Caenorhabditis elegans: one gene and its partners. The protein of the gene in region 1 interacts with the protein of each later gene in a pairwise test. Each region holds a gene or a part of one and is shown on either strand. Other genes may lie near its edges. The genes, in order: pal-1, aap-1, gip-1 and pfd-2.

Region 1 (6,453 bases):
TTCGAGACCGGGTACCGTATTTTCGGCTAAAAATCGTATTTGGGTAATAATAAAAAATTAAAAACTTTCAATTCTTCCAGATGCGAGCTTCTACAAGCCGACATTCTCGACCCGGAATCCGATCTTCCACGTGGCACATTCGACGTGGCTGTCATTAATCCTCCATTTGGAACAAAAAATAATGCAGGTAAATATCCAACGATCTCCTAAAACGTTACAATATCTTAAATTTCTCAGGAATCGATATGCAATTTGTCCAAATCGGTCTTCAAATGGTTCGGCCTGGTGGAAGTGTATTTTCACTTCATAAATCATCAACTAGAGATTATATTCTAAAAAATGCAAAGAAATGGGACGGAGTTGGGGTTTGTTTTTAAATTATTCTAAAATTAGAAAAAAAAATATTGAGTTTCAGGCAGAATGTTGTGCAGAAATGCGGTGGCAACTACCAGCGACTTACAAATTCCATAAACAAAAGGCCGTGGATATTGCCGTCGATTTAATACATTTCAAAAAACTGGATAGTTAATCTCATCAATTTCTGCTGTAAATTCTTCAAAATTGTTTCATTGTTTTGTTATAAAAAATATGCAATCAAGATATGTGAGAAAAGCAAAGAATTCTCTAAACTTTTCCAAAAAATAGAAAACATGTTCAAAATGGATCCGTTCAGAGTGGGAAGTAAATACATAACAAATGGGGACCTAAACTTTTTCCTAAACCTTGAGAAGGGTAAGAAACAAGAAATCACAATAAATAAAGAAGCTCTATATTAGGGAATAATTCATTAGAGAATGATTGGATTAGTTTACAAAGCAGAAGGAATGATCGGAAAGTTATAAATATATATATATATATGTTAAGGGCAGTGATGATTAGAATATTCTGATGTGAGAGAATGGGAGATGGGACAGGAAGAAATTATATAAAAGTGTGAATTTAACCGTATTCAAGCGAGAGAAATGTAAAAATATAATAAATGTGTACAATATTCTAGAAAAATATGAAAATTCCCAGAATTTTTGTACATTTTCTTTGTAAGTAGATGAGTACTTATAGCCGAATCTTCTGTTTGTCACGACGATCCTTTGCACGCCTGCAATTAAAAATATTACAGTATTATTACGGAAATTAACAATTTATCAGAATATATTGAGATCAAAAAGATGCCGTCCCAGTGGTGAATTCAAAAAAAATACGCTTTTCAAAGAAAAGGGATAGGGAACATCAATCTTTTGGTTTATATTCCCTTTCTTTTAATGAATACAATGACCGGTATGGTTCGTCCGTATGTTACCTCTTCCCAGGAAAACGGCGGTCACGTCTGTCCAACACAGTATGTATGTCTGTTTGGATTGGGACGCTACAGGAAAGGGACACACACATTGATTTCCATTTTACAGCACTCTGGGAATCTCTGCCGACGACGTTTCTATTCCCCTCGTAAATCTTTCGATGCGCACTAATATTGTCAAACAAGGCAACAGACAACAAAAAAAACGACTGTTGAGCAGATAATTGGTATATCTCTGCGAGCTGGTCAGAAACCCTTGCTTTATCATTTCTGTAGACTCTTTCATTGAGCTAGAACCTCACCTAATTAAATAAAGGCAAAAACTTGAAATTTGGGGCATTTTGAGTATATTTTTTTGCAAACCTACAAACGATACTCTCCCTTTAACATGCGAGTGAAGGAGATTAACAGTAGCACTTTACGGGAAGTGTTTTATCCCAATAACTTGGAAATTCGCACTAGATATCCTATTCCCTTGTTAATTTCCAAATCCCCGAACGCGTAGATAGCCACACATGCAAGCAGTGACCACCTCTCTTCTACAGTAATACCAATTAGAAAGTCGTAAACGGACCAATTAACAAACTTCATCTCTTCCTCACCTCCACCAGCACGTCTCAAACACTGTGGCCTCCAATTACACAACTTTACGACTCTTTAATTCCTTGGAACTATCTCTACTGCGCGCGTGGACTGAACTGAATCTTAAAGAACGAAAGTGTGGTGGTACTTTTTCCTATGGTTACAGTAGGAGGTGACAGTCATTGTGATGAGTCCCCTGGAAAAGCCTGAGAAAGAGTAAGCAAACAGCAAACAGCAAACAACGTATTTGGCTCGAAAGGGCGCGGAATGAATGAATTCAAATGAGATTTGCAGAGGGCAACATCATCTGTTAATTAAATGACGTTGTGAAATATGTGTCAATATTTGAAGTCTAATCTCATGATTCCAATAAACCAAATTAAACTTTCAGATCTATTAATATGACATCTCACACCATAACAATCCCAATTTGCCACCTCTCATCATATAAATTGAGGTCACTCTAACACTCTTTCACGGCTAAAGACTCTCCTGCTACCTGCCACACGGGTCGAATTGCGTAAGCACCGTAACTCATACACCGCATCACCTTTACCGCCTTTCATCTCTGTGCCAAATCAAGAAAACTTGATATTATTTTGGTGTCTTCAAATTTGTAGTAATCAATCATCCCATTTTAGGCAGTGAGTTTAAAAAAGAATCTACCTATTTTGAAACCAAATCTTGATTTGTCGTTCTGTCAAGCTTAACATCGTCGACAATTGGGACTTGCGATCTGATGTTATGAATGGCGATGTATGGAATTCTTTTTCCAGTTCAAGGCGTTGATAATCCGAGTAAACCATACGGTATTTGTCAGCTGTTCGTACACGGACATCTGAAAATAAGTTTAATTACAAACTCCCTCGTAATAAAATGGGAAATTGATGGGAAAGGAATCATAAATACTCAATTCATTTGTCCTAGTTACTGATAAATATGACTGATAGCGGCTTCTTTTTCACTTGAAGAGAGATTGTTTGCACACGGGGAGACTCTTTTGAAAACTTACTATTCGTTCCAGGTCCCGTTGGTAATGTTTTCCCATCACTGCTTGATCTTCGATCCTTTCCATGATTGTTTCCAAGAGGCATTTTCCACGAGAATCCCTGAAACTTAAATTATCTTTAAAACAAGCTCACTTGGAGGAGAACTAACAGATCAAAAATTGGCTGCTTTATTAGACTTATTAGACATTATTAGAGATATTTATTAGACAAGTTACCACAAACGACAGAATTTCCTAATTTTATGGCAGCTTAAAATATCGAAAAGAGCCAAAAATGCTGAAATCTAAAATTTTATCAACTTATCCTTGTCTAGTAGCTGAAATACAGTTTTTAGTAAGTTTTCATTTTTCATTGCATATTTTGGTAATTTATCTCGTGTTAATTCGTTGATTTAGGCGCGTTCTAAGCCGATAGGCACTGAATTTTTGTAATTTTTGGAAGTAGACTGCTTAAATCAATGAATAAACGCGAGTAGCCGTACCTAAAATATGCAATAAAAAATAAAATTCAATAAAAACTGTACCAACAATTTAGAGTCATAAAAAATGTGAACAGTTTTTGAAAAGTCTCGCTAGGAAATTATGTTTTTTGGTGTTATAAAAGCCAACAAAGGTATTAAAATACAATTTTATATGATTACCTGTTGATAATCCATAAACGGCCAAACAGATTGCTGATAACACGTGGCAGCTCTCATCTGGTAGTTGGCTGCAGCAGCAGCAGCTGCTGAAAGCTCTGAAGAAGATGCAGCTCCAGATGATGTTGATGGGAACGGTGTCATCATATCACTCGGTGATGGATACATTCCACTATCACTACTGCTACTTCCATTCGAAAGCGGTGGCTTCACATCAACGGCTTCTACTGCTGGAATTTGTCCGTTGGCAGCGAGTTGTGGAAGGCCGAATGGATAGAGATCCGGATGTCCCTGGAAATTCAATTTTTAAATAAAAAACCTTAAGGAAATTCATTCAAAACGTACGTAAAAACCAGTATCACCCATTTGTGACCACCTTCCATAGATTTGTGGATCAAATGTTGGTTGCAGCATCTTTTCTCTGAAAAAAGAAAATTAAGTATAAAATGAAAAAAAAAAACAAGAAAAACTTCAAAATATAGCACCTCCTTAATCAAATGTTCTTGTCAATTGATACACACACACACGCCTATTACCTCTTAGACACCCTCCCGCTTCATTCCAACGGTGGAAATGGGCGGAGCAATGTCTTCCAATACACTGTGGAGGCGGGGCGTTACCGTACCCTCCGGATAGATCGAAAATTTGCATATAACCTTTCAAACAAATTCTATCATCAAAAAGGCGACAATATTTGAGAATAAATACATGGTTAGCAAATATTTTGAAGGAGATAAATAAGAGAAAGGGCATGGATTTACAACCATGTGTGTGTGCTGGATTATTAAATATTTATGGTATTTAATTTTGTTCACTTGGTCGTAATGAAACACCAACAGGAAATATTTAATTTTTCGTTGATTTTGAGATTCCAAATAAAAATTTCGAAGATCTAGCCTCAGAGGATGTGGTTGCATGAATGGCATCATTGGATAGTGAGGCCACGTGACATCTGCTGGAACTGTTGTTGGTGAAGGTGTTGATGAGGACTCGTTTTCCGAAAAATCCGACTTGACATCGACCGACATTCTGAAAACGAGGAAGTAATTATCAGTTTATATAGAGAAAAGTGAACAGTAATAAAAATTCAAAATTTGAAGGAAGATTTTCGAGATTTGATGAGAATAGCAATAAAATAACGAGCTGGCAACCCGGCACCGCCTCCTGCGGCTCATTGAGCACTTGGGAAGGCGGGATTTATCAGATATGAACGGGAGAGGGAATTGTGAATGATTTATAGCCACACGTCGATTTTCAGACAAACATATCACTTTTACAATGAGACAGGTCGGCAAGGAAACAAAAACGCCCAGTTCGTTGGGAAATAAATTATTGGTCTGTGCAGGAAACTGTCCGAGACTGTATTCGAAGATGGATTTTCTTACTTTAATAAAATATGCGTTTTTAGAATTGATTTTTAGCATTGAAATTAGCAAGACAAATATAAAAGAAACGTTAAAACTCAACAGAAATGAAGAACAGAAAAAAATTAACACTGAAAAATTTTTACTGACTGATCAGCTCAATAGAGCGCACTTTCCACTTGTCGATTTACGAAGATTTTTATTTAATTTATTGTTCAATAGTTAACTTGCTGTTAAATATCTTTTTATTTAAATAAATATTTTAAAAATTATAAAATTTTGAAAAAGATTAGAAAAAATCATCTAGCCAAAAATTAAGAAAAGAAGAATTTTAGCCACTAAATTTAATTTCAATGAGATCCCGCCTTTAAAATAATTTGAAAAATAGATCACTCACCTCATATTTGATCTACTCGCCCAAATAATAGTAAGTCTACCGGCCATTGAGCCCATCTGGAATTGAGGTTCCATTACGATGTTCATTAGGAAATAAATGAGCGATGAAAGTTTAATTGAGTACGATACGAATGAGCATTTATGACTGACAGGTTCATGTGGAGCAAAGATTACGGTAGCAGAGAATTATTTCTCTTATCAGAAACGAGTGATCTATTAAATAGTTATTCTAAAAGTTGGAGATTCTTAACAAAAAATGTTGCTGAAATCGACAATTTGTCCTCCAAAGATTTGATATAAAAGGCAACAATGAGACCGCCCTTTGACTGATTATGTACCTTCTTTCAGAACATTAAACATTTACGATCTGGGAACTCTGCAGCTGTCATGAAGAACAACAAATGGAGCATCTGAAAATATCAAAGAGTCGCTTACTACTCGATTTCATGCACTATCAAGTTTGACCTGAATATGACCCGGCTGTCTGTTGCGTAATCGTTTTGCTCTTTGTGCATCTATGATACCGCCGTGAGAAGAGCCGCGTCTCGTATTTATTGCCACCCACTGTTGGGAATAGTTAGATAGCTGGTAGGAGAAACAAGATTTATTTACTATAAAATTTATTTGTATCAAAAAAGCTTAAATTTTAAAACAAAAACGAATATAAATTAAAAAAGAAATTTAACACGAGGTCTGCTTTATTCGCAGTGACCTTCTCGCCCCAAGTTCGCCGGCGTGGTTGTTTGAAAAGTGATCCACGAGCTGCTCCTTCGTCTGGGAAACTTCATTGCAGGTCCTGCATCGGAAGCTCTTGAATTTTTCAAGATCCTGAAAAACAACTTCAACTAATTTTTTATAATTTTCAGGCTTACCTTATCGTACTGAGATCCTTTCCCCACCAGCACTGCACCGATGAACACATTATCTCTGAAACTCTCATTTAAATTGAAAAAAAAAACACAACTAGAATTACCTTTCAGCAGATCGTCCATGGTTTCTGTTTTCCTCATCTCGAATCTTTTTCAACTCCTTTGCAGCATCAACAGGTGCTCCGGTCCGCTTGGCTAAATTGGATTGACGAACAACGGCAGACTTGACTCTTTTCGCTGGTTTGAGGGAGCTGGACGATGGATTCTTTTGACCAACCACATCATATGACGAAGCGTGGCT
Region 2 (4,767 bases), on another chromosome or scaffold:
GGGTAAGAATATATTGAATTATTTATTTTTTTCGAGTTTTCTACAGGAAAGCGTCTTCATTTCATCATTCTCATTTTTGTTCACAATCAATACACTGACCATGTTGTACAGTTCGATTCGATGGAATAATACGGCCTGGTGGCTGGCAACGGTATGTTATGCAAAATGTGAAAACGCGCTCCACGGCAATTGACAACGCCCGCCCCCAAACCATGGGTCTCGTTAGATATTTGTCGGCAAAACCGTAAATTCAAACTTTTTGACTTAATTCCGCCACTTTGGCGAAATAAGCAAAAATGAAAATAAAAACATTTGAATGTACGGATTCGCCTCCAAATACCTAACGAGACCCATGGTTTGGGGGCGGAGCGTTTTCAAATTGCCGTGGAGCGCGAAAGAAAATCAATTTCAGGTTGTCTGCGCTTTGGTGACAGTCTCGTTTCTTCTCAGTCTGTTACATGTGATGAAAAACCAAACGAAAGGTCATATTACTGTTAAACAGGAGGAGAATGTTGTGCGATTTAATACGCGGATGAACCGCCGACGGATTTGAATTTATATCAATAAATGTACAATTTGACAATTCATATAAATACTGATAATAAATACATTTAAGACACAAATAAAACGTAAGTAACTTAGAAGAAAGTGATCAGAGAACTGTGGGTTTACTATCAGATCGGATGGGGGACAAGTGGATGTAATTGAACCGAGTATATGTAAGTAATTGATTTAAATATATAACTATTCCGGGATGGATTTAGGAAGAGTAGTTGGATGAACCAATCGGGAATCAGATGATGAAGGAGTATCCGGAGATGGAGAATCCCATGAATCCGGTCTTGGTTCCGGTGATTCAGGTGGCTTAGTGGGATCATCAGTGAGAAGAGCCTTCTCCATATATTTCCTGGATATTGGCAAAGCCGTAAAAACTTGTCCGGGTCCGTTACGAAGAGGTTTTGAAGTATCACTTGTGACAGCGTCAAATGCGGGCGTACGAAGTGGAGTTTTGATAGCATCCGCGTGGGTTTCAAGACTGAAGTGAGAGTAATAGCGAACGAAGTCACTTATAGTTGTCAGGTAGACATTGCTGTGCTCGAATCCCCATCCTTCTTCGTTTTGTTCGATTAGACAATGTGAGACACGTTCTCCGTGAAGTACACTCAATACGAGCTTATCACCCTGAAAAATATTCAATTCAATTCAAAAATTAGCGTGAATGAGGATGAAAAGTTATTCTTCTGATAAAATCATAAACTAACATGAGAAGAGGATCCTCGAATCAAGAAAATACCATCTTGTGGCTCTCTTTTCAATCCAACAGCCTTGTCAAGTTGAGCGATCCGATAGCGAGCATGAATCAGAGCATTCGCAGCATTTTCCTTAGAAGTTCCACACATCAAATATTGTGCCGGTGTCCACTTCAATTCCATATCGACAAGAAGTTGAGTGACTTTCGTTGGCTCACTGTTTATCATTTCCGCTCCAGCATCAAGCATTGCAGCCATTCTCGAACAAAGTGCTGGTTCCATTTTATCATAGACTGCACTACGAAGTTCCATAAGCTTGCAGAGTCGTGTTTTTGAATTGGATCTTTTCATCGCGATTTCATCCAAAATTCCGGAGAGCGTCTTTTTCTTATCCTTTGATGACGTCAGTTCAGTGTTTATTCGTCGAATACTTTCTTCCACAAACTGCAAAATAAAAAAGATAAAATTCAAAACTATAATGGTTAAAAATTGAGGATTTGCTCTAAAATCATTTTTAAAAAACCGAGAAAAAAATTGAGCAAAAATTAATAATCCAGCTTTGAAAATATTGAGTTTTGGCTAAATAACAATTTTAAATTGAACTTCTTTTTTTTGCTTTAGAATTGTTTTTTTTTGGTTTTGGATGTTTTTTTTCTTCAAAAAACGCTTACTGTCTTATTATTTGCAAATGCTCCTTTGAGCATTTCACTTGTTGTCTGCGATCCCTGTATTTGTGTAACGACGTCTGTTTCAGCTTCTAACAAATTATTCAGTTTTCCAAGTTTAATCTCATTGTCCCGAACTGATTGATTCAAAGCATGATAGAGACTTTCAGCTCGTTCCATTTCTTGATGAGCTGAATCATATAGCTTGGCTCCTCTCTCAAATGCCAAATGTACTGCTCTCAAATTTTCCATTTCCAAGCGTTCTCTCCAATCTAAAAAAAGCATTAAATTTACTAATTTTTATTTTTTTCAATCACTCAGACGCGAAATTTTGCCACTTTCGCGATAAAAATATGGTACGAGGTCTTGAAACGACAAGAGAAATTCCGCAGCAATTAAAGTTTGAAATTACAGTATTTTTAAATTTAGCGTTTGCGTTATAAAATAATTTACCATGATCATTTTTTGCACTGAGAATCATACGCTGCTGAAGTTGCCCCTTCTTGAAAAATGGTTTTCCATTTTGAGAGTTACGACGAACAGAAACTGGATATAAAAGACGAACATCAAGTGCATCATTGAAAATATTGAGAGAAATATTTCGATGAAATTCAATTAATCTGACAACAGAATCGTGAGTTAATGAATCTGTATTGAATCCGCATTTTCCATCTTTAACAACGATTCGGAGAAGTTTCACTTGGGCGGCAAATCTGAAAAAAGGACTATTAATATTGAATACTAATTTTGAAAAACCCACTTCACAGAAAGTGTATAATCTCCAGGTGTACTAGCATTTCTCACAATAAATGATCCATCAGGTTGATCAGAAAGTGCTTTCGAAACTGCAGATCTATCAGCATCAGCCCAGTACCATCCTTGTTCCATAAGACTATGAGTGACTCCATGAGGAGTTCCAGGTGTTGTGCTCATTCTGAATCCTTATATATATATATATATATATAATTAACGGAGGAGAAGAATCTGTGGTGTTTTTGCCGAAGTAGACTAAATCTGGCACAAGACCAAGCCGAGACCAAAAAGCAAAGCATTGAAATTTGTGAAAACACCAAAAAAAACCAACAAAAAAAGTATGTATAACATGGTCTGTAGACCAATGGAAATATCAACGAGAAAAAAAATTCGAAGAATGCAAATAATTAAATAATTTTATTTGAAATATTTACACCCATAAATACTAGCAATTCGTCCCGACTATTAAGTGCTCGCTTTTTTGAAAATTTTCATCATAAGAACCATTGATACGAAGCTCATAAAAATCAGAACAATGAGCATGACCTTGAAACAGTCATAACCACATTTGTAGGCGTGACGCTCAACTCGCTCACTTTGAATCTGGAAATTTTAAGACTATTATTTGAAGTTTATATAGTGAAGAAATTACCCCGAGAGCTGTTTTATTATCATCGACTTCTTTCGCCATTAATATTGCTCTTTCTGTATCTTCTTTAATCACATCTCCAGCAGCCGACATCATCGTTTTGAATGATCTCGCCATAGTGGCCAAACTATTTGCTAGCTCCTCCTCGACAAGCTCATTTTTCATGAATTCCTGATCTTCTATAAAATTTGACGAATTTTGAACAATCATTGGATACTAATTTTTACCAGATGTGTCTTGTGCTCTATGTTTATTAGATGAAAGCAACTGCTTCCGAAGATCTGATCGATAGATGGATCGTTGAGTAGCTCGGAGTCCAGCTGCGGATTCTTTTTCAAAATCGTAACTTTCCGCCTCGTTATCTGCAATATAAACATTAAAATGAAATATTGAATAATTCAAAAACCATTCTTGGAGTCTGCAACAGTTACTTGGACATCGGGAAATACACGTGGAATTTTTTCAATCACTTTCAGGCGCTCCTCGGCTGACGACTGGAAAACTTACTGACAATTTCATAACAGTTGCGAAATTCACAAAATATTTAAAGCTGTTCAACTTGTTTTCTTTACTTAAATCTAAATTGAAAAGAGGGACATAAAATCTACGGAACATTTGCATAATATTTTAGGATTAAATTTTTAATTGAAACAAATCAAACAAATTCAAATTAAGTTTAGAAATTATGTAAAAATTTGTATCTTTAAAGCAAAATTACAAGATCGAATTTGCTTGTCTAAAATATCTACAAACCTTGCTTTCAGCTTCAGCGAGTAATTTCAGTTGCAAGACTTCCTGTCGGTACTCGTGGAGAATATCATTTGTGGTTCTGGAAAAGTAAAACTATAAATATTAAAAAATGTATTTTGAAAAACTCACTCATCGTTTTGAAGTGTATAAATCATTTTATTGAGAATCTTTGTAGCTGCAGAAACCTGAAATAAGAAAAATAATTAATTAAACAGAACTTAAAATGTGATACTTGCTTTCCAAACGTTTGCTGACATATCCTCTTTTGTCAAGCGCTTTGTTCGCTCGAGAAGTCGTAGAAATTTCAGCTCATTTTCAGAAATATACGCCATTTCATTGATGTTTTGACAAAATTAGATAAAAAAATAAAAATAAACGTTGACAACTTGAAAACAAATAAGTTCGGCCACGGCCGAGAAATACAAAAATGCAAATGCGCTCATGCGCGAAAAAATTTTCAAGTCATCCTTTTTGTCGAGGACTGAGAGATTCTTCTTGTTTTATGTAATTTTTCTATAGGTTTCTGCCGTTTATATTTTAAAATCATATTTGTCTAGATTATCTTTATATTTTCAGAGAATGGCCCGTCGTTACGATAGTAGAACGACCATCTTCTCTCCGGAGGGAAGACTGTATCAAGTCGAATATGCTATGGAGGCTATCAGCCATGCTGGAACTTGCCTCGGCATTCTCTCATCGG
Region 3 (4,951 bases), 2.5 Mb from region 1:
TGAAAATTCACTGGAAAAATGTGTTTTTAGCGAAAAAAAATGCCTCGAAATATAAATTTTTAATTTTTAATCTGAAAATTCCCGTGAAAAATGGGAAAATTTTCGAATTTTTCATGTTTTTTCGACTAAAAAGTCGAAAATTTTGTGAAATTTCTCGAAAAAATTGAAGTTTTCTCAATTTTCCAGCTTTTCCCCCTCAAAATGCTCCAATTTTCAGGATATTTTCATATATATTTTTTTTTTTTTTTTTTTTTTTTTTAAATTGTGAAAAACGTTGAAAAGTTCACTTTGGAAAAAGAAAAATATGGAAAAATTCAAATTTTCCACTAAAAATTGACATTATTTGCGGAAATTACCAGCTTTTCGGCGTAAAAAACGCTAAATTTGTCAGTTTTCCGCAAAAAATGCTCGAAAATCCAAAATTTTGTGAAATTTCTCTCAAAAAACGCGTGAAAAACGCTATTCAAAAAAGTGCAATTTTCAGCTTTTTTTTACTAATTTTTTCTTTAAAAAATTCAAATTTTTGACTGGATTTCTTCAAATTCTCCATTAAAAACGGGTTTTTACTCAGAAAAGAGGGGAAAAACCAGGAAAATTGAAAAATTTTCATATTTTTCGACTGAAAAATGCAAAATTTTGTGAAATTTCTCTCAAAAAACGAGTGAAAAACGGCAAAATTTACAAATTTTTCTAAAAAAAAATCGGAAAAACGCGAAATTTTCATGTTTTTTTTCGGCTAAAAATTAAAATTTCCATTTTTTTTTTTGCAGGGTCGGTGTGTGATTTGTGGTGGCGCTGGCGTCAGTGATGCATATTATTGCAAAGAATGCACAATTCTCGAAAAGGATCGTGACGGATGCCCGAAAATTGTGAATTTGGGAAGTGCGAAGACGGATTTGTTCTACGAACGAAAGAAATTCGGATCGAAAAAGTCGTAGAAATTGGCTTTTTGGCGGCGAAAATGAGCGAAAAATCACAAAATTTCGCCGAATTTTCACCTATATCACCTCTAATTTATCAAAAATGTTCCAATTTTCTGTTAATTTCCACTTTTTTCCGCTGAAAATTCCTATTTTTCTTGAAATCTGACTGAAATTTGGCTAAAAATGAGCTGGAAATATCGAAATTTGGCTGAAATCGTAAAATTCCCTTTTTGTTCCCTGAAAATTGAGCAAAAATGTCAAAATTTTGGCATTTTTGACCAAATTTTGCCTATTTTTGTGAAAATTTGCCTTTTTTTTTCGTTGTTTTTATCGAAATTTTGCTGAAATCGCGATTTTTTCCACTATTTTTCCCTAAAACATCCCTTTTTTACTGGAAATTTGGGCAACATTTTGGCATTTTTGCCTATTTTTGTGAAAATGTTACCATTTTATTGAAAAATTAGCTTAAAATGACAATATTTTCCTAAAAATTTCGAATTTCCGTGAAAAATAGCCAAAATGTCACTTATTTCAGTTAAAAATATGCCATTTCCCTGAAATTTGGCTGAAAATTCGCCTATTTTCACTTAAAATTCCGCAAAAAGCCCTTTTTTTCACTCAAAATGTTCAATTTTTCCCTGAAATTTGCCTGAAAAATCGATATTTTCACTCATTTTCACCTTAAAAATTGTCTTTTTCCCCCATTTTTTCCAATTTTCCTCTACCCTTTTATCAATTTTCGAATAAATTATCGATTTTTCTGTAATTTTTCCCTTTTTTTGCTGTGTTGTGCTGGTTTTGTTACCTATTTGTGTATATTTATCTCTATTTTTTACGGGAATTTTCAGTTTTCCCCGAATTTTTCTGAATTAAAATCACTAAAAATCGATTTTTCTTCCTGAAAATTGGGTAATTTTGCGAGAAATTTAATTTTTGTTTAAAAAAAAACTAAAATCTGAATATTTTTTGGAGAAAATTAACCAAAAACTTGAAATTTTATGAAAAAAAAATGGAAAAATTTCAGATAAATGCGTCGACAAGGCAGCGAAGAAGTTGAAGCTGTACAGCAATTTTTAAATGCTTTCGGGTTTCATGATAGAGGTAATTGGATTGAATTTTAGAAGAAAAAACACCGAAAAAGCCGAAAAATTGACTGAAAAATCGAATTTCTGACGAAAAAATGAGATTTTCCATAAAATATCAATAATTTCAAGTAAATATTCGAATTTCGAGGGGTACGGTAGCACCAAAAGTACGCAAACACTGTGGTACACCAAATCTTACGACATTTTGCAGAAAAACTCCTGAAATTATAATAAGAGTTCAGATTTTTTTCATCAAAAGAATATATTGGTGGCCGAACTCCTTGGATTTTTTTAGGCCACGATTTTCTGAGCCAAAAATTTTATTTTGAATTTTTCGTTCAAATCTCGTTTTTTACTAGAGAAACTCCAATTTCGGCTTTTTTTCTCTTGGTTGCCTAACTTTTTTTTTAGATTTCTAGGCCACCCATTAAAAATAGACCGTTTTATTTGATTTTCTACATAAAAACGGGGATTTTGAATTTTGAATAATTCAAATTTTAAAACCAAAATTTTAATTTTAAGTCTTTTTTTTTTTTGAGATATTTGAAATTTTCTAGACGGTTTTTTGGTGATGAATCGGTTTTTATTAGAATTTCAACTATAAAAACCGAATTCTAGTCAGTTTTTGGATTTAAAATCAATTGGTGGCCGAACTTGTTGGATTTCTAGGCTACCAAACTTCTGAACATTTTCCCCTGTGACTCTTGTGCCTCTATTCGTATTGATTGCAGTAAAAACGGGTATTTATTCACATTTTTAGCCTTAAATTGGCTTAAAATGTGAATAAATACCGTATTTCTGCAAACAATTTGACAATAGAGCACATTTGTCACTTGGAGATGCGGAAGCTATGCCCAAATTTTCATTTTCAAGCCGAAAAACTTGTGAATTTTCGCGATTTTTGCACAAAAAAAACCATTTTCAGCCGATTTTTCCGTAGAAAAACGGATTTTTAATCAAAATTTTGCAATTTTCTGTATTTCAGATGTGATAAAAGTTCAAGAAGGGCTATTCCACAGCCGTCAGCTCAACGATGTGAACGCTTCGAGAACATGTGTAGATCAATTTGTTAAGAAATGTATGAAATTCCAGGGAAAAAACCAAAAAAAAAAGCGGCAGTTTTCCAGGCGAACTTCGTGATCCGAACGGAATAAAACCGCTTCGCAAAAAAATCGATGCTCTGATGAACGAATCGGTAGAAATGAATTATATGATGGATTTTCTTGTGAGATGTCGACAGGCTCACTTATTTCATAATGAAACAATAAGAAATAGTCCGAGTATTGGTCTGGGATCCATTGGAGGTACCCCGACCAATTCGATTCCATCCTCATCGCCGTTTCAAAGAAGATCTGCAAGTCGTGGACGGGTGCTCAGCACGCTGAGTTCGGTGTTTTACCGGTTTTAGCCGCGAAAAATTGTGAAAAAACGGAGCAAATATCACTGAAAAGTCGATAATTTATTTGAAAATTGACATTTATTTTCATTAAAAATTCGAAAAATTAGACATTTTCGGTCAAATTTGACCTGAATTTTATAAAAATATTTTTTTTCTCCTTAAAAGTTGAAGATTGTGCTTATTTTTGTTCGATTTTCGAGAAAAAATGCTGAAATAAAACCTACAAAAATGTGGAAAATTGAAAAAAAAAAGTTTTTTTTTTCATTAATTTTCAATAGAAAAAAAAACGAAATTTTTGCCATGATTAAGTGGCCGAACTTTTTGGATTTCTAGGCCACCAGTCGGAAAACTCGGATTTTTAGAAATTTTTTATTAAATTTCTAATTCTCAAGCAACAATTATTGCGTTTTTTTTCATTAATTTTTTTTTAATTTTTGAGGCTTTTTTTTGGCGAAGAGTCGCTTTTTAATCGAATTTTGAATATAAAAACTGAATTCTATGTGGTTTTTGGATTTAAAATCATTCGGTGGCCGAACTCTTTGGATTTCTAGGCCACAAAATTTTTGAACTATTTTCCCCTGTGACTTATGTGCCTCTACTCGTTTTTTTTTGTTTGCACTAAAAACTGTATTTATTCACATTTTCATCCTCAAATTGGGCTGAAAATGTGAATAAATACCGTATTTCTGCCAACAATTTGACAATAGAGCACATTTGTCACTCGGAGATGCGGAAGCTATGCCCAAATTTTCATTTTTCACCCGATTTTTAGCATATTTTTGGGGTTTTGATGGATTTTAAGTGTTGAAATCGGTTTCAGCTAAGAAATTTTCGGTGACCGATCTTTATGGAATTCTAGGCCACCAAGCTGATTTTGAGCCAAAAAGCTATGCTCAAATTTTTATTTTCGCAATAAGATTTGCAATTTTCCATAGAATCATTCCACAAAAATCAAATTTTGAGCAAATCCCCAAACACTGTGGCCTAACTTTTTGCAAGTTTTTAGGCCACCCATTAGAACTTTGGCGTTTTTTCTCGAATTTTCTACAAATTTCTATGTAAAAATGTATTGAAATTGAGAAAAACTACAAATTCAAGCCTATTTTCGCTTTAAAAATCATGAAAAATCATTTTTTTTTAATTGGAAATTCACAGAAAATTGGCGAATTTTTCCATAAAACTAGTGAATTTTCCAGCCGGAGACCAACAAACTCCATCAATTGCCGATTCATCGTCTCGTTCTCGTGCCAATTCCTCATTTACTGCCTATGACAATCGAATGCTTGGAATGGAACGCCAATTGGCTGGAAATATGGCTCAACGGCCACGGAGTCCGTATACAATTAATGGAATACCAACTACGAGGGTTCAGCCGATTAGCGCCAGCAATCAGCTTTTTACGTGCGTAATTTTCGAGAAAATTTGAGGAAATTTGGTTGAAAATACCGAATTCACCGCTAATTTTCACCCCTAGCACACTTTTTCCGGGTTACTGTAGCTTTAAAAGTACGCCAACACCAGATCTAACGACATTTTTCAGAAAA
Region 4 (3,870 bases), on another chromosome or scaffold:
TTCCAAATTTTTTTTTCGGCAAGTTGGCGAAAAATTCAGATTTAGCCGGATTTCGCTATTTTTTCCAAAAAAAAAAAACGAAAAAATCAGTTTTTTATGAAAGAACATAGGAAAAATATAATTTTTTTCCTGAAAAAGTTCGAAAAATTTTAAGCCATTTTTCGAAAAATCGAAGTTTTTTTCGGAAAGTAGGGGAAAAAATCGATTTTTCAGAAAATATCCTAAAATTTTGGTCATTTTCAAATTTTTAAAATACTTTCTCTAATTTATTCTTCAAAAATTTAAATTTTATGGTTACTATTTCCTGAAAAAAAATTAAAAACCCTCCATTTTTCATTGCAAAACTGCTTTTTTCCCACATTTTCGAGCTCCATTCCCACCAATTTACCCCATATTTTCAGCTATATCGCACCCGACATTGCCACAAAACTTCCAAATCTCAAAACTCTTGCACTGACCAACAACAACATTTGCGAGCTCGGAGACATTGAGCCACTGGCAGAATGCAAGAAGCTCGAGTACGTGACATTTATCGGAAATCCGATAACTCACAAGGACAATTATCGGATGTATATGATCTACAAGCTGCCGACGGTTCGAGTGATTGACTTCAATCGAGTCAGACTGACAGAACGTGAAGCTGCGAAGAAGATGTTCAAAGGAAAAAGTGGAAAGAAGGCGAGAGATGCGATTCAGAAGAGTGTTCATACAGAAGATCCATCAGAAATTGAACCAAATGAGAATAGTTCGGGTGGAGGTGCTCGGCTTACTGATGAAGATCGGGAGAAGATCAAGGAAGCGATCAAGAATGCCAAGTCACTCAGTGAAGTCAACTATCTTCAGTCGATTCTGGCATCGGGAAAGGTTCCGGAAAAGGGATGGAATCGTCAGATGGATCAGAATGGTGCCGATGGGGAAGCGATGGAGTCTTGAAAAATCTTGAAAATTGCAGAATGTGCTGCTAAAATTTATTTATTTATTTTATTTGATTTTTTTAATGTTAAAATGATACTCCTTGTTTTATTTATATTCTCATTTTTTTCCAATTTTTTCCCAGTCTGTCTTCCCTTTTTTTGTAATTTTTATATACCATAAAACAATATTTCCCCTATTATTTTTGATATTTTTATCGATTTTTCAAAGGTTCCCCGTGCCTTTTTATATTTGATTTTTTGAAATTTTTGCAACAAAAAGTTAGAAAAAAATCCTTTTTCAGCCATTTTTGTGTTTTCCGGCTATTTTTTATTATTTTATTAATTTTGAGAGGTTCCCACTGGGAACTTCCCAGCGCCTTCAAATATCTATTTGGAAAAAAAAGGTTTAAAAATTGGAAAAAACGCGGATTTTTTTTTGAATTCTCGCCTAAAATAATCCATTTTTTGTGTTTTTTTGTCATTTTTCCGCAAAAAAAAAACTTCAAAACCCTTAAAAAAATGCGTTAAAACTCTAAAATTACCCTAAAAATCGATAATTTTAGACTTTTTTTTTCACAAAAACTATCGATTTTTGGCTAATTTTAGAGTTTTCAACTTTTTTTGCTGAAAAATGACTGAAAATGTGACAATGAAAAACCGATAAAAAAAGCCGGAAAATACAAAAATGTAGAAAATCGGTGAGAAATTCAAAAATAAATCGGCTTTCACTAGTTTTTTTGCAAAATATTTTGAAAAATCTTTTTTTTTCAATTATAAAAATTTTTTTTGGTCAGTTTTGGCAAAAAAAACCAAAAAAAAACTGGCTCTCTACCATTAAAACAATTATTTTCAAAAAATCCACAACTTCCAGATGTCGGCCGCTCAAACCGCCGCCGCCACTCCAGCCGAGCAAGAAGAGCAACGAAAAGTCGTCGAAAAGTTCAAGGCTCTACGTGATCAACAACAGGATATCGCCGCCGAAGTGACTCGAATCGAAGAGGAACGACGTGAATTTGGACGTGTTCTCGAAGTGATCAAGGATCTTGAACCGGATCAGAAATGCTTCCGTTTGATTAGTGATACACTTGTCGAGTATACTGTCAAGGATGTTATTCCGGATTTGCAGAATAATATCGCTAATGTGAGGATTTGAAAGTCGGGAAAAATAGAAGAAAAGGCGGAGGAAACAGTCATGTGTCGATTTACGGAGTTTGTGTACTCCTCGTGGAGAAGATTTTACAGATTCCGGCTGAAATACCTGATTTTCGACCTTTTTTCTATATTTAACGCGTTTTAAATTGGGGATTTACAGTATTTCCGATGAAAATTGACAGTTTTTTGAAGCAAAAAAAAATATTTTTTCATCTGAAACACTGAATTTTCCGATTTGTTGCACCAAAAATACGGTATCTGGAAGCTATGCGCCTTCAAGGAGTACTGTAATTTGAAATTTGTGGAATTTATATTGATTTTCCGTAGTTTTTCGATAAAACACTTCAATTTTAACAAATCGAATGAAAAAATATAAACAAATCGATGGAAACTTTGCAAATTCGGGTACTCTTTAAAGGTGCGCAGCGTCATGTATTCGAAACAAATGTCGTGTCGAGATCAGACATCGTAGTTTTAGCGCAAAATTTCGCGTTTTTACACCTAAAAATTGAAAAAAAAAACCAGATTTTCCGTTTTTTTTATAGCGAAACCCCCAATTTGCGCTGGGAAATACTGTAAAAATACGATTTTAATATGGTTAAATACAAAAAATTGAAAAAAAAAACAGACTTCTCCTCGTGGAGTACACGAGCTGCGTAAATCGACACAAGACCATGATTTCACAGCCATTTTGCCATTTTTAATGCGAAAATTCATTGAAAATCAGTGTCAAAACATGGAAAATTAACGGTTTAATCTTAAAATAACAGTAATTTCAACGAAAATATTTGAGAAAACGGTCAAAAATGGTCTGAAAGTTGAATTTTGTTCAACTTTCAGGCAATTTTTGAGCTCTATCTTGGATATTTCGATTGAAAATAGTGTAATTTAAAGAGAAATCGAGTGATTTTCTATATTTTGTCACAAATTTTCAGCAGAAAAACATGGTGCAACTGACCAGAATTACCGAAAATAATAAAATTTTGCAGTTGACAATCGTCTCGAAGCAGCTCAACGATCAGCTCGTCGAAAAGGGAAAAGAGCTGAACACTCACAAAACTACACACAACATTCGTCTGCTCACTGAGAAAGAATCTGCCGAGCTGAGAAAAGCTGAAGCTCTTGGACAATTGCCAAAAGCTTAAATTTCCCCTGCTTTAATTTTTTTCTCGATTTCCTACTGCTTTTTCATGTTTTCATACGTTTTTTCTTACTCTGTTTGTTGCCTTTTTTCTATATGCTCCCGTTAAAAGAACTTAAGTCTTGCATAAATTGAATTTGAATTTTTTTTCGATTTTTAACTGCTTTATTATGGTTTTTGAAATCCAATTTTATCTTTTTTTTTTTGAAAAAAAAAACATTTTTTGGTTTAATAAGTTTTTTTTCCAAATTTCGATATTTTCCCCGTTATTCAACAAAATTCATCGATTTTTTCATCGTTTTCACATTTTCAGAATTTTTTTTCGAAAAAAACTGAAAAAGTAGCCTAAAACCGATAATTTAACATTCAATCATATTTTTTGCGAAAAAAATTGAAAAAAAAACTATTTTTCAAGTTTGTCATTTTTTGATTGATTACTAACTTAAAAAATGGTTTTTTTTTTCAAATTTTTTCCCATAAAAAGTATAATTTAATGTTAAACTATCGATTTTTAGGGTACTTTTACAGTTTTTTGAGAAAAAATGTCTGGAAAAATGGGAAACCATGTTTCAAATTATAAAAAACTGCAAAAAGTGAAGAAAAATCAATAAATTTAGTCAAAAAACTCAACAAAAAAAGTTTTAAAAATTCGAACTTTCTCAA

The links.
Region 2: the proteins of pal-1 (region 1) and aap-1 interact in a two-hybrid assay, tested with the Caenorhabditis elegans proteins (one large-scale study listed by BioGRID).
Region 3: the proteins of pal-1 (region 1) and gip-1 interact in a two-hybrid assay, tested with the Caenorhabditis elegans proteins (one large-scale study listed by BioGRID).
Region 4: the proteins of pal-1 (region 1) and pfd-2 interact in a two-hybrid assay, tested with the Caenorhabditis elegans proteins (one large-scale study listed by BioGRID).

The regions. Positions count from the first base shown.
Region 1 is NC_003281.10:4,804,158-4,810,610, forward strand, and holds pal-1 (Homeobox protein pal-1), read right to left. Parts: upstream 4,553-6,453; 5' UTR 4,552-4,552; coding exon 4,421-4,551; intron 3,945-4,420; coding exon 3,869-3,944; intron 3,815-3,868; coding exon 3,527-3,814; intron 3,203-3,526; exon of another isoform or gene 3,054-3,202; intron 2,992-3,053; coding exon 2,889-2,991; intron 2,715-2,888; coding exon 2,543-2,714; intron 1,097-2,542; coding exon 1,054-1,096; 3' UTR 552-1,053; downstream 1-551. Other genes in the region: rRNA N(6)-adenosine-methyltransferase metl-5, read left to right, coding at 81-187, 238-365, 416-529; C38D4.7 (C2H2-type domain-containing protein), read right to left, coding at 5,965-6,111, 6,156-6,210, 6,257-6,453. UniProt on the Caenorhabditis elegans protein: Transcriptional activator. Interacts with promoter regions for tbx-8.9, tbx-9, elt-1, hnd-1, scrt-1, and vab-7 genes. Binds the sequence ATTTATGAC. Binds to the enhancer region of the hlh-1 gene promoter during embryonic body wall muscle development.
Region 2 is NC_003279.8:5,105,925-5,110,691, reverse strand, and holds aap-1 (SH2 domain-containing protein), read right to left. Parts: upstream 2,850-4,767; 5' UTR 2,849-2,849; coding exon 2,676-2,848; intron 2,629-2,675; coding exon 2,369-2,628; intron 2,188-2,368; coding exon 1,922-2,187; intron 1,695-1,921; coding exon 1,263-1,694; intron 1,183-1,262; coding exon 745-1,182; 3' UTR 554-744; downstream 1-553. Other genes in the region: Y110A7A.21 (MARVEL domain-containing protein), read left to right, coding at 1-2, 47-151, 413-553; use-1 (Vesicle transport protein USE1), read right to left, coding at 3,134-3,271, 3,321-3,496, 3,545-3,679, 3,724-3,811, 4,071-4,146, 4,197-4,252, 4,304-4,399; pas-3 (Proteasome subunit alpha type-4), read left to right, coding at 4,647-4,767.
Region 3 is NC_003281.10:2,345,644-2,350,594, forward strand, and holds the start of gip-1 (Gamma tubulin complex component protein N-terminal domain-containing protein), read left to right. Parts: upstream 1-1,947; 5' UTR 1,948-1,951; coding exon 1,952-2,024; intron 2,025-2,993; coding exon 2,994-3,086; intron 3,087-3,135; coding exon 3,136-3,393; intron 3,394-4,603; coding exon 4,604-4,808; intron 4,809-4,951. Other genes in the region: phf-5 (PHD finger-like domain-containing protein 5A), read left to right, coding at 771-938.
Region 4 is NC_003280.10:4,324,935-4,328,804, forward strand, and holds pfd-2 (Prefoldin subunit 2), read left to right. Parts: upstream 1-1,785; coding exon 1,786-2,055; intron 2,056-3,055; coding exon 3,056-3,211; 3' UTR 3,212-3,350; downstream 3,351-3,870. Other genes in the region: mog-2 (putative U2 small nuclear ribonucleoprotein A'), read left to right, coding at 402-933. UniProt on the Caenorhabditis elegans protein: Binds specifically to cytosolic chaperonin (c-CPN) and transfers target proteins to it. Binds to nascent polypeptide chain and promotes folding in an environment in which there are many competing pathways for nonnative proteins.